Schizosaccharomyces pombe: one gene and its partner. The gene in region 1 interacts genetically with each later gene. Each region holds a gene or a part of one and is shown on either strand. Other genes may lie near its edges.

Region 1 (7,451 bases):
ATATCTGACATCCGGGAAAACATCCAAAATTTTGCACTGGATACTTTTAATTTAAAAGTTGTAAACGTTAAGGCGCTTGTAGTTTAATTGTGCTTTAATGATATTATTTGTTGTTGATGTCGGGTTTTTATAAATTGTATTCATGAAAATATTTCCTGGAATGGTAGAAAGAAATGTTCATACTTGATGAATGGTCCGTTTTAACACATTAAACTATGACTGTAATTACATGTGATTTTGTTTTTATTTTTGAATACTATCAACTGCTCTTGAGCTAAGATACTAAACTAATAATTGCCTGTTAAGTTCATAATCGTTGTAAGCATATAGTAAGGTAAAGCAAACGTAGCAGCAAATACCCAGTTCAATAAATGGAGTTTTTTCACTATCTACAAGTAAACTATAATAATAACTTTGTAAGGAACGAATGAATGATTTGCTCTTTCTTCAAGCTCTTTTAGTATTCTAGAAATCGGTTTAAAATGCCAATTCAAAATTACGATTAATTAAAGTAAAAAATAAATATTAAATAATCTAACTGATTACTGATTTTGATTCGTACATTTCATATAAAAGGGAGAAAGTATATCCCAACATCGTTTATAGACATTTTCTTTGAACCATCTCCTCACCATAGCACAGTAAACATTACATAGCGATACGCAAAATAGCACCACTATGTTTGACACAATCATCACTCCAATTCACTACGCTTCATTTGCGCATCCAACATGTCTCACTAAAGTTGGCTGGTTCGTACATATTCACCCTTGTCAACTGCGTATATCCCGAATTCAATAAACGTGTTATTTTGACGCGCATATACGTCTATATTCATAATGTCAGATTACAAGAGTCTTAAAGTTGCAGAACTGCGTGAAAAACTTGCGGAGAAAGGCCTCTCCACTGCTGGAAACAAAGCTGAATTGGTAAGCCGATTGACAGCAGCGACCGAGAGTAACGATGAAAATACTTCGAATAACAACGCTACAGATCTAGGAGATCTTGCTCCTCCCGAGGATGATATTGATTGGGGAGACATGGAGAATGATACTATTTCAACTGACGTTAACAAGCCAGCAGAACCCGAAAGTAAAGAGACCAGTGCTCCTGCCGCTGCTGTAGAGATTGAAAAGGAAAATGAAAGCATTATTTCGAAAGAGACTTCACAAGCTCCTGAAACTTCCACTGGTGCTGAAGAGCATCAAGAAACCACAGAGGAATCCAAACAAAGTGTATCTAATGAAGTCTCTAGCCCAGATGTAGCTAAAGAGCAAGAAAAACTCATCCAAAGGGCTAAACGATTTGGCATTCCTGTGGACGATGAACAAATTAAGAAAGCTGCTCGTGCTGCACGTTTTGGCATTCAACAACCTTTAGCGTCAAGTAATAACAAAAACCATAATCAATCTAAGAACCCTCAAAATCGTTCCAACTCACGTTCTAAACAAAGAAATAAGAATGCGCCTCCTAAAAGTGCTCCATCCAAGCGGAAGAGTAATATTTTGGACGACCCTATAGAGGCAGAAAAAGCTAGGAAGCGTGCTGAGCGCTTTGGTGTTGCTGCCAAGAATTAAAGTAACCATTTAACATATTTTAACTTCTTATTTTACAATATGACTCATGTTTCTTGAAGTTTTCTCCTCATGCCATGCTTTATTTGTATGCTTAATGCTTTTTTGATGAATTAGAACTTTTGAATTCCTATTTGTGTATATAAATTATACCCAGACTTTTGCTTCACTTTAAACAACTTATCCGAGTACAAGCATCCGATATTGGAGCCCTAAACGCTTCTAATTTCAATCCTACCTTTTAGGTGTGTTTTAAAACATCTGTGAAAACTCGGTTTTATTTTTTTAATAGCTTTTTGGGGCGTGATGTAAGTATTTCCTAGGCGAATTCTTTAATAGTTACCTATACTCATATGTTTTCCATTTTTAAAAAACTCTTCGTTCTAATCGTTTTGACATACACATTCGTTACAAAGATTTTCCACTCTGCTATCCATATGTATATATTTTGATGAGCTTATTTGTATTTAAGAAAAAGAGAAGGATTGTAATGTTTATATGATGTATCCACCTTTACTTCCAACAATGTCGAAATTCTTAATTTTTGTACATAAACTATTTTCTACAGGTTGGAATTTTATTTTTTTATTATACCTTTTTGTTTCTCAACTTCGGACTTCTTCTGTAACGTGCGACTTTACCTGTTTTGCTGTCATCGGTAAGTAAGAAAAAGTGAAAAATTTGACATTGCTGGCTGTAATGTTCTTTTGCGTTTTCTCAATTAGAGTCAATTAAAATGCCTTTTAATGGGAAAGAGTAACATCATTGTTTGTTTACATGTTGAAGTTTGTTTGTTTACAAACATGGCTTTTTAATCGACTTTTCTCAGAGCCACCTTCACCGTGTCTCAGCTACCCATTATTACAAAGTTTTGACTTTTCAACTCAACTAGTATCGCTACCTTTAAGAATATAAGAGTTGTTTCTATATCTTTTAATCCAGCCTCTATCCTGTTTACGCATCATGAATGCGAAATTATCTTCCTCCGGAATGGTACTGAAAGAGCTTCCGGAAGTCGCTTTGCAAAAGATAAGCTCAAACTACTATTGGGCTGTTTTTGCAGTGTTCCTGCTGTGCGCAATTGTCTTTCCTTTAGTATCGATATTCAGTTTGCCTCAAAAGCAGACTTACCACCGTTTCTTTTCCATCCTCAGTTTGGTTTCTTGCTTGGCCTACTTTACCATGGCCTGCAATTATGGATTGAAAAATGTGTTTTCTTCTGCTTCTTTTTTTCGAGAAGTTAGTGTACGAATGGTTTACTATGTTCGCTATATTCAATGGTTAATCAATTTCCCATTAATCATCGTAATGCTACATTGGACGGTAGGCGTATCTATACTAGAAATTGCATATGTCGTTTGCTATGTGCTTTTTGCGATTGTTTGCTTACTGGCGGCAGCATTAACTTCATCTCCCTATAAATGGGCCTATTACGGATTTTCGTTTGTAGGCTATTTTATTGCATTGGCACACTCAGTCGTTTTGCATAAAAAGTATGCTAGCCGTTTAGAGACGTCTGCGCGCCTAGGGTTTTTATGGTCAATTGTTTACTTACATGTCATTTGGTTCCTCTATTATGCATGTTGGATTTTATCTGAGGGCCTCAATGTTATCTCGCCAATTGGAGAAGCCATATTTTACAGTATATTAGATCTTTTCGAATTCGGCTTTTTTGGCGCTGCTTTTTCTTGGATGCTAGACTTGGTTGGTATTGAAAACTTTAAATCGCCTCAATCGATACCCTTAGGGGCATGCAGTCCTGCTGATGACAAGTTTTCAATGTGTCCGGACATGGAGGCACAAAACCAAGCTGATGATTTGGCCGTTGAAACTCGCATTCAAATTTCCAATTTACCTTCTTCACCTACGAAAAATAATTGCTAATAACAGTACGCATCGTTGCAGTTATCTTTGCTTAGTTATAGAAATTTACCTTCCGTTTTTTTTTTTTTTGTTTTTTAATCATTATTTGTTTCCTGAATGTTTAAAACAAACTCGAAGTTTCGCTACGAGAATTTCGTTGGCATTCTAAAACACAAACACTTTTTCGTGAAAAATTACGATTATGAAAACGAAATAATTATTATAAAAACGAAACCTTTGAACAATTATTAACGTTCATTCGCACTTGAAACGTCTAAATTTACGACGGTGAGTCATTGTTTACGTGAAAAAAGCATTATACTAGTTTTAGTTTAAGATTATTCGTAAATCATTTGCATAACTTTTACGAAACTTTACAAGGCATAGCTAATATTAATACAAAAATTTGCTGTTGAGATACAATATACGTTTAAACATTTCATAGAATAATAAATAAAAACTAAAAAAAAGAAACAAATAGTGCCCAAAATGGTAAATAGCCACTTTCAACGAATGAAGTAAGTAAAACTAGCATGAGCGATGCAAGTTTGCAAAGTGTTATGGGTATTTAAAGTCGAGCAGACTTAGAAGTATTATTTTCGTTTGGCTCACGTAAGTCTTGAATTGATATATGCTGCAACGGAGGAACTGTACGAGCACTGGGTCTAGCCGACAAACGACTAGCTTTAGAGGAAAAGCTAAAACGAGCACCTGACGTACGCGATGCATTTTCGTTTTCTTCATTCGAACTAGATTCTTGTTGAGAACGTTCGTACTCTTCCTCTTCGGCTCGGCGACGTTCCTCAGCTTCGCGTCGCATGGCCTCTGTGCCAGCGTTTTCAATGACAGCATCGGGAAGACTATCACGACCAAGCCTTTTACTTCCAATATCAGCAACATCATCAAAAGCAGGCATCAGATGCCGTGTTCCAAGGGAAAAGTCAACACGCTTTTTAGAAACACTAGCGGTATCGGAATCTGAACTACCAGGAGGAGTAGGTTCGCGGTAAGGATATGCTTTTGGGTTCTTCAGAATTCCTCCGCCAACAGTGCTGTCGCGATGATTTTCAGTACCACCACCATCATTACCACCAGATAACTTAACACCCTCCATTGAACCATTGTTGAAGTTGACATACATAGGTGAATCCTTTGATTTACCAGGGCTGTTGAAAATAGGAGATACAATATCCAATTCCTGCATATAAGTCATCAATGCACACATAAACATATTTCTTCGACGCATACGTAAAACCTCGTCTTGAAAGTTATATTTATGAAAGAATACAACACACAAAGACATGGAATAGAGATCCGGTAAATCCGTAACTTCAGTTAGTAAGTCAGGTTTATAATCACGCTTCTCTTCTTTCAAAAAATCAATAATTTTGATTCGCAGTTGTTCAATTTGCTGAAGAGTAGTTCCAAACTTCAGGTTAACGGTGACTGGGTCAGCAATGCCATCACTACGACGCATGTTCAAAATCCAAAGGGTGTTCAGCAAACTGTTTGGAGCTTGAATGACTTTTCCAGTCAATAGACGAAACTCGGTAGACATGATGGAAATTTCCTTGACCATCGCTGAAGTGACTGTGCCATTGATCATGACATCGACACGATCGCCCACATCGTAAGGATGTTTCACAAATACGAATATAATAGAACTAAGTAATTCCTGTGCGGAGCCGGAGAACAGCCAAGACAAACCTAGCAAAGTAGTTCCAGCAGAGGTAAGTACACCGCTAAAGTTACGGGCAATCAAGTATAAGAAAATAAAAAGAGTAATGACAGCCACTATAAACATGCAAATACCATCAAGCTTAGAAATGGAATCGTTCAAGTCACGAAGTGAAGCAGAAATGCTCTTACGCTCTTTTCCAATTTCCACACATGCGAGTTCAATTTCTTCACAGGTGATATCACCATTTAGATCACGATCAAAAATAGAATAACATGCCTCTAAGGTGGCATTATCCACTTCACCAGTTTCATCGGTGTATACGGGAATAAAATCATCCAGTACTAAATCGGGATTCTCAGGATTCACCAATGCCTCAAATAAGCAACGAGCTAGAGATTGACAACCGCGTGTGGTCTTTAACAAGTGTAGCACAACACTTTTAGGAGAAGAAGATTTTTCGACCTCACGATTAGTAATCTCACCAGCCACTTTGTTAACCATATCCGTAGCGAAGTTGAATGCAGAGATAGCTTTGTAAGTGGTTTTATTCAATGCATTCTGAGCAACCCGAGCAGCTGCTGCGCGCTTCTTGCCATGTTGGTGATCAGCAAACTTAAAAACATCTGCTTGAGCACGATGGATAGCATCTTTGAAATCAAAAGAACGCTGTCGCGCATATCCATACAAACGGGCGAGTTCATTAATAGCAAACTTATTGTAAAGGATTCTAGATTCATATTCACGACGGTGAAGCGACATGGCGATCAACTGCATAAGTACTTTCTCCACCAAATTCATAATTGAGGTGATGAATAAAGTGATAAGTACATTGTTGGCGCTCTGTTGCCAAGGGAGTTTTACGCGTACATGATCAGGTACACCATAATCACCAATATGACGGCGGGTCATAATGGGAAGGAAACTGACATATACAGCTAACATCCAAAGGAACAATGTAATAGGAAACTCAAGGGCAACTGCCATGCATCTCCATTTAGTAACGTTGTTACTGATGAAGGAGACGAAGAAGGCAAAGAAATAAGGAATTACTTTGGCAGCATAGCGAGCAGCCCATATAGAGAGCCATATAATTTCCCACCAGATGGCCATCCACATCAAATCAACACCTCCAACGTGTAAATGGCGCTCATATTCATGACCTAGTTCATCACGGTAAGGAGGTTGTGGGTGATAAAAGCGACCAATGAATACTGGAATCAAGAGTAAAACCCCGAGAGGAATAATGTAAATGAGCGAACGAAGGTAAAAGCTTCGCTGTTGAATAAATTTGAATATGCGACCAAAAATAGTTACAGGATGGTCCGGAGCCTTAATAGGAGCTTCAGTACCAAACGTCACTACACCAAAGTTGTCTAAATGATTCTCAGCCTCTTGAGCGGCTTCTTCATTCTCCGCAGTACGTTCATAATCGCCCGACTTTTTAGACTTGGAGGTACGCATGGATTTAGAACGATGGGAAGAAAGGCGTCGCATAGATCCGCGAACACTTCGGCCGGTAGGACGTCTTTGCAAAGACTGAGAACCACGGACAGCCATTTCGGCATTAAAAATCTGATTTTCATCTTCCAAAGTCATGTGCGAGCGATATGAGACGACAGAAGCAATAGGCGATCGAGATCGCTCATGTTCAGGAGAGTGCGGCAACTGCCTTTGTTTGGATTCTGGGTGCAACTTTGATAGTTCCATTTCCAGGGACGAAGTATCACTAGTCCCAGTATGACCTTGATTTTCTGTAGAATGCTGGGGAGAATGCTGAGGTTGGTGAGCCTTGGCATCAGAGTTTTCGTTATCAGCTTGATCAGAATTGGGATCCTGATTAGTATACTCTGGCGGCATACCGTCTTTCGAGTTTGACCAATGATGGCGACCAGGACTAGAAGTAGGAGAAGTAGGAGAAGACATGATTAAAGGAGCGAGCGAAAACCGTAAGTATGAAGAATTTAAAAAATAAGAAACTGTCTGAAAAGGTTTAAATGAAAAAGGGAAAAGAAAAACAGACAAGGATGAATTGATTTGAGTTACCAGGAATAGGGAATATGATGAAAGGAATGAGAAGAAACTATCGTCCAGAGGAAAAGAAAAAATACACAAGAGGGAATAAATAGAAAACTTGACCAAACGTCAATAAAATGCAGAAATCCAAGGATGAGTAATGATTAAACACAAGTACAAGGAAGGAACTAAAAATGAGAGGAAAAACAAAAAAGTCGATAACTTGGGTACCTAAAAAAAAAAGAGATTCTAAATGTTTAAAATAGATAGCTTGGAATGGGGATGTGGTTGACAAATGAGGTCAAATAATCAATCGTGAG
Region 2 (3,515 bases), on another chromosome or scaffold:
AATTGAAAGCCAATAAGGAACCAGACACTTTGGTGCCTTTCCAGTTTGAGATTTGTACGGTATAAACGAATTGATGAGTTCCATCAGCGTGGATTTCAATAAAGCATACGCAGTAAACCATGGGTAGATCGATCCAGTTAATTGCATCCTACTATGTATAATTTCTTTTTTTATTCTAAATCAACTTGCAGTAGATAAAATACATGAGAGATATCGCGAAAACCAATTATGAAATCTCAATTAAAAAATTGAGGGAATAAGAGTATTTAGTAGCCTTCTTCATATAATAAATTCACAAATACAAAATTTTCTAGTGGCTCCACCAAATATCCGTAGATAACTAGTAGCGATTGTGCTTTCCCTCACTCATGTTTCAAGACAACGACTAATAAAAAAAGTGTTTTATTTATTCTGATGCCCATTATTGCTCACACATCTAATTCTATCATCAGTTTAAAAGAGTGCTCAAGATCCTCACCTTACTGCGACCAATTAGTTGTCTCAGTAACATACATATTTCTACTAGAGTGCTTACTTTACCTCAAAATAATTCGAATAATATTCAAAAAATTTGCTATTCCGTAATTTCCAGACCCAACTAAACCATAATTTTTTTATGAACCAAACTACACAAAATTAATTAACCGCTAAAAGCTTTACGTCAAAAACCAAATCTGAATTGGCTGGGATACCTGGAAGACGTTTAGAGCCATAGGCCATGGCAGCTGGAATATGAATTGTACGTTCTCCACCTACTTGCATACCCACGATACCAACGTCCCACCCTTTTATCACTTCCTCGAGTCCAAGATTAAAAGTAAAGGGCTTTCCGGTAATGTTTTTGTCAAATACCTTTCCGTTAGTAAGACGACCTATGTAACGCATAGAAACGCGCTTTTTGCGCTTCGCAGCTGGTCCGTCACCTTTAACTTTATCTTGAACCGTAACGTTTCCTTCAAGTACTTGCTTAGGATAAGTTTTTGTAGACTTAGATTTCTTCTCAGTTTGTTCTCCTTCACCGGCGGGTTCGGTCTTTCTCTTTTTGCCGTTCACAGAATCTGATACGTCGACAGCAGTTTTCTTTTCTTTCTCTTCCTTTTTAAGCTTATCCTTGGAATGCTTTTCAGCAACTTCATCCTTTGGAACAGGCTTTTCTAAAATCTCTTCTTCTGCTTGCTCGGCATCCTCTTCGTCACTGTTCAACTCCTCTATACGAGCACCATTTTCTTCCTCTTCTTCTTCGCTTGATGTAACGGAAATATCATCCATTTCTTCTTCATCGCTGCTAAATTCATCTGCTCCATAAAGAAAGTCATTCTCGAGGTCACTACTATCCTCCTCCTCCGGAATGTTTGTAATTATGCATGTTCCGCTCAAATAAACCGGAATATCACCACCAACTCGTTCAAAGAAAACTTCTTCTCCAGGAGAGAAAATAATGTCAATTGGTTGCTGGTAAACCGAGCCCTTTTTAAGGGTGCATAGGGTAAATTTTTCTTCTTGAAAAAGTTCTTCGTCACTTTCTTCTCCATCTTCTTCGGGGTGCTCAAGCCTAGTGATCACGTTTACTGTAACGGCATCATTTGATTTAGCTCTAGGATCCAAAGCTGCCATCGTAAAACGAACAGATAATTCGCTACGAAAGCCTTTATAAAAGTCTTCATCGAAAAGAGGAACACGCTCCTGATCCACTTTAACACTGTAAAGGGTCTCTTCCTTACTCATTTTGTTTATTTAGAATAAATAAAATCCAAAAAGATACGCAATAGACGATGGGAATCACAGAAATTCACCACTGGTATATCAGAGTAGAGTAAGTGTTGATGAAAAAATTGTACCAGTAGCAAACCTTTATGACGCCTTAAGTAATGTTATCTCGCCTATTCATAAGCTTATTATTACCGAACCAAAACGGAAGCGTTAGAAGCGTTTTTCAGTTTGATGCATTCTCAATAGAAAATTTTAAAAGGTACAAATAATTAGCAGTAGGGGTTAATCTTCATGTACTTTCGTTCTTTACTACCAATACTCAAATAGCAAGTCGCCGTCATCTTCATTCGTGATCTTAGTAGTCAAAGAGAAAAAGCCTGGTTATTTGTGAAAATTTTCTTTAAAGTTCAAGAACGGAACATAATTATTTTAGCATTAATTTAACGGAGAAACTACTATTTATTCGAATATCTAATTTTACTTAACAATTTTTTTTAATCGGAATGTGTATACCGAACTAGTCCACCAAGTCATTAAAGATATTAACGAGTGTATACACACTACGTTGTGCATATTGTTGGTTTTTGGGCTGGCAAACCTAACCTGAACGTATTACCGCTCTTTAAACGCATAGCCTCTTGAAGGTTATCTGTAAACAGCGTTTTTCAAGGTTGTAATAAATTCATTTATTACCTATTCTAAAACAGTGTTGAGCTTTCCAAGTTTCACTGGTTGCGGGTTTCAGAAATGTTAGTTCTCAAGCTATTGTTGTGGTCCATCATATCTGGGCTCAGTTTAGCTGAGCAGGTATGGAGAAATAGTAACGCGATTCGTACGATTGATTTACGCTCCACTTATACCAAAACTCTCACTTCTTTAATTATTGTAAATGAAGGAGATGAGCCTCAAAATACATATCGCTACTTTCAGCAGACCTCACCTGGCGAAAGTGTCTTGTCTCTCTCCGTATCGATAAAAGAGGAAGAAAAGAAAGGAACTAACCCTATAAAAGTTAACAACAATGTTTATGATATTCCTTTACAACCTCCTGTCAAACCTGGTGAATCTCGTACTTTATTAATACAGGCAGGTTTGGACGGTGGTGTTCGTCCTTTACCAGCAGCTGTGGATCAAGACGAAGAACAATATTTGGTTTACCTGACAACCCTTTACTTAGATAGTCCCTACACTACTGATCTTCAACGCACTCGTCTTATACTCCCTTCTGCTAAAATTGACACATATACTACGTATAATATTGATGGAGCTGAACTTCCCAATCGTGTTGGCAATACTTTGGTTTACGAAAGCCGTGAGACTATCACCGGGGAGGACAATGATTTAGGTGAAATCTATGTTCGCTATGAGCATACTGTACCTATTCCTCGCGGAGCTGATCTCTATGTTCAAATTGATATGCATGAATACCGAAAAATGTTAGAAGTCTCGGAGCGTGTGGTTTTTGAAAACCATGCTGCCAAGCTGAAGTCCAACTTCGATCGTGCCAAGTGGTATATGGGAAACTTTTACAATCCAGTTTCTACTGCTATTAATCGAGTCGTCTATAGTCTTCCTAGAAATTCCAAGGATGTCTACTATACCGATGAGGTGGGAAACATTACCACATCTCATATGCGAGTTGAGCCTCACCAGACATGGATCGAGTTAAATCCTCGCTATCCTGTATTTGGGGGATGGAACTATTTGTTCCAATTGGATTGGAAAATGCCTTACGAGGAGTTCCGCTCTTCCAAGAATAGAAGGGAATATCTTGATATTCCTCTGGCATGGTCACCTGGTGACAT

What was found. A genetic interaction does not mean that the proteins touch.
Region 2: mutations in mug73 (region 1) and ani2 together harm fitness less than expected from each alone (positive genetic interaction), as found in Schizosaccharomyces pombe (one large-scale study listed by BioGRID).

What each region holds. Positions count from the first base shown.
Region 1 is NC_003421.2:619,614-627,064, reverse strand, and holds mug73 (transporter mug73), read left to right. Parts: upstream 1-2,537; coding exon 2,538-3,458; 3' UTR 3,459-3,549; downstream 3,550-7,451. Other genes in the region: RNA-binding protein mlo1, read left to right, coding at 840-1,577; msy1 (MS ion channel protein 1), read right to left, coding at 4,006-7,041. UniProt on the Schizosaccharomyces pombe protein: Has a role in meiosis.
Region 2 is NC_003424.3:4,326,647-4,330,161, forward strand, and holds ani2 (FKBP-type peptidyl-prolyl cis-trans isomerase), read right to left. Parts: upstream 1,823-3,515; 5' UTR 1,726-1,822; coding exon 637-1,725; 3' UTR 501-636; downstream 1-500. Other genes in the region: SPOM_SPAC27F1.10 (uncharacterized protein), read right to left, coding at 1-147; dolichyl-diphosphooligosaccharide--protein glycosyltransferase Ost1, read left to right, coding at 2,458-3,515.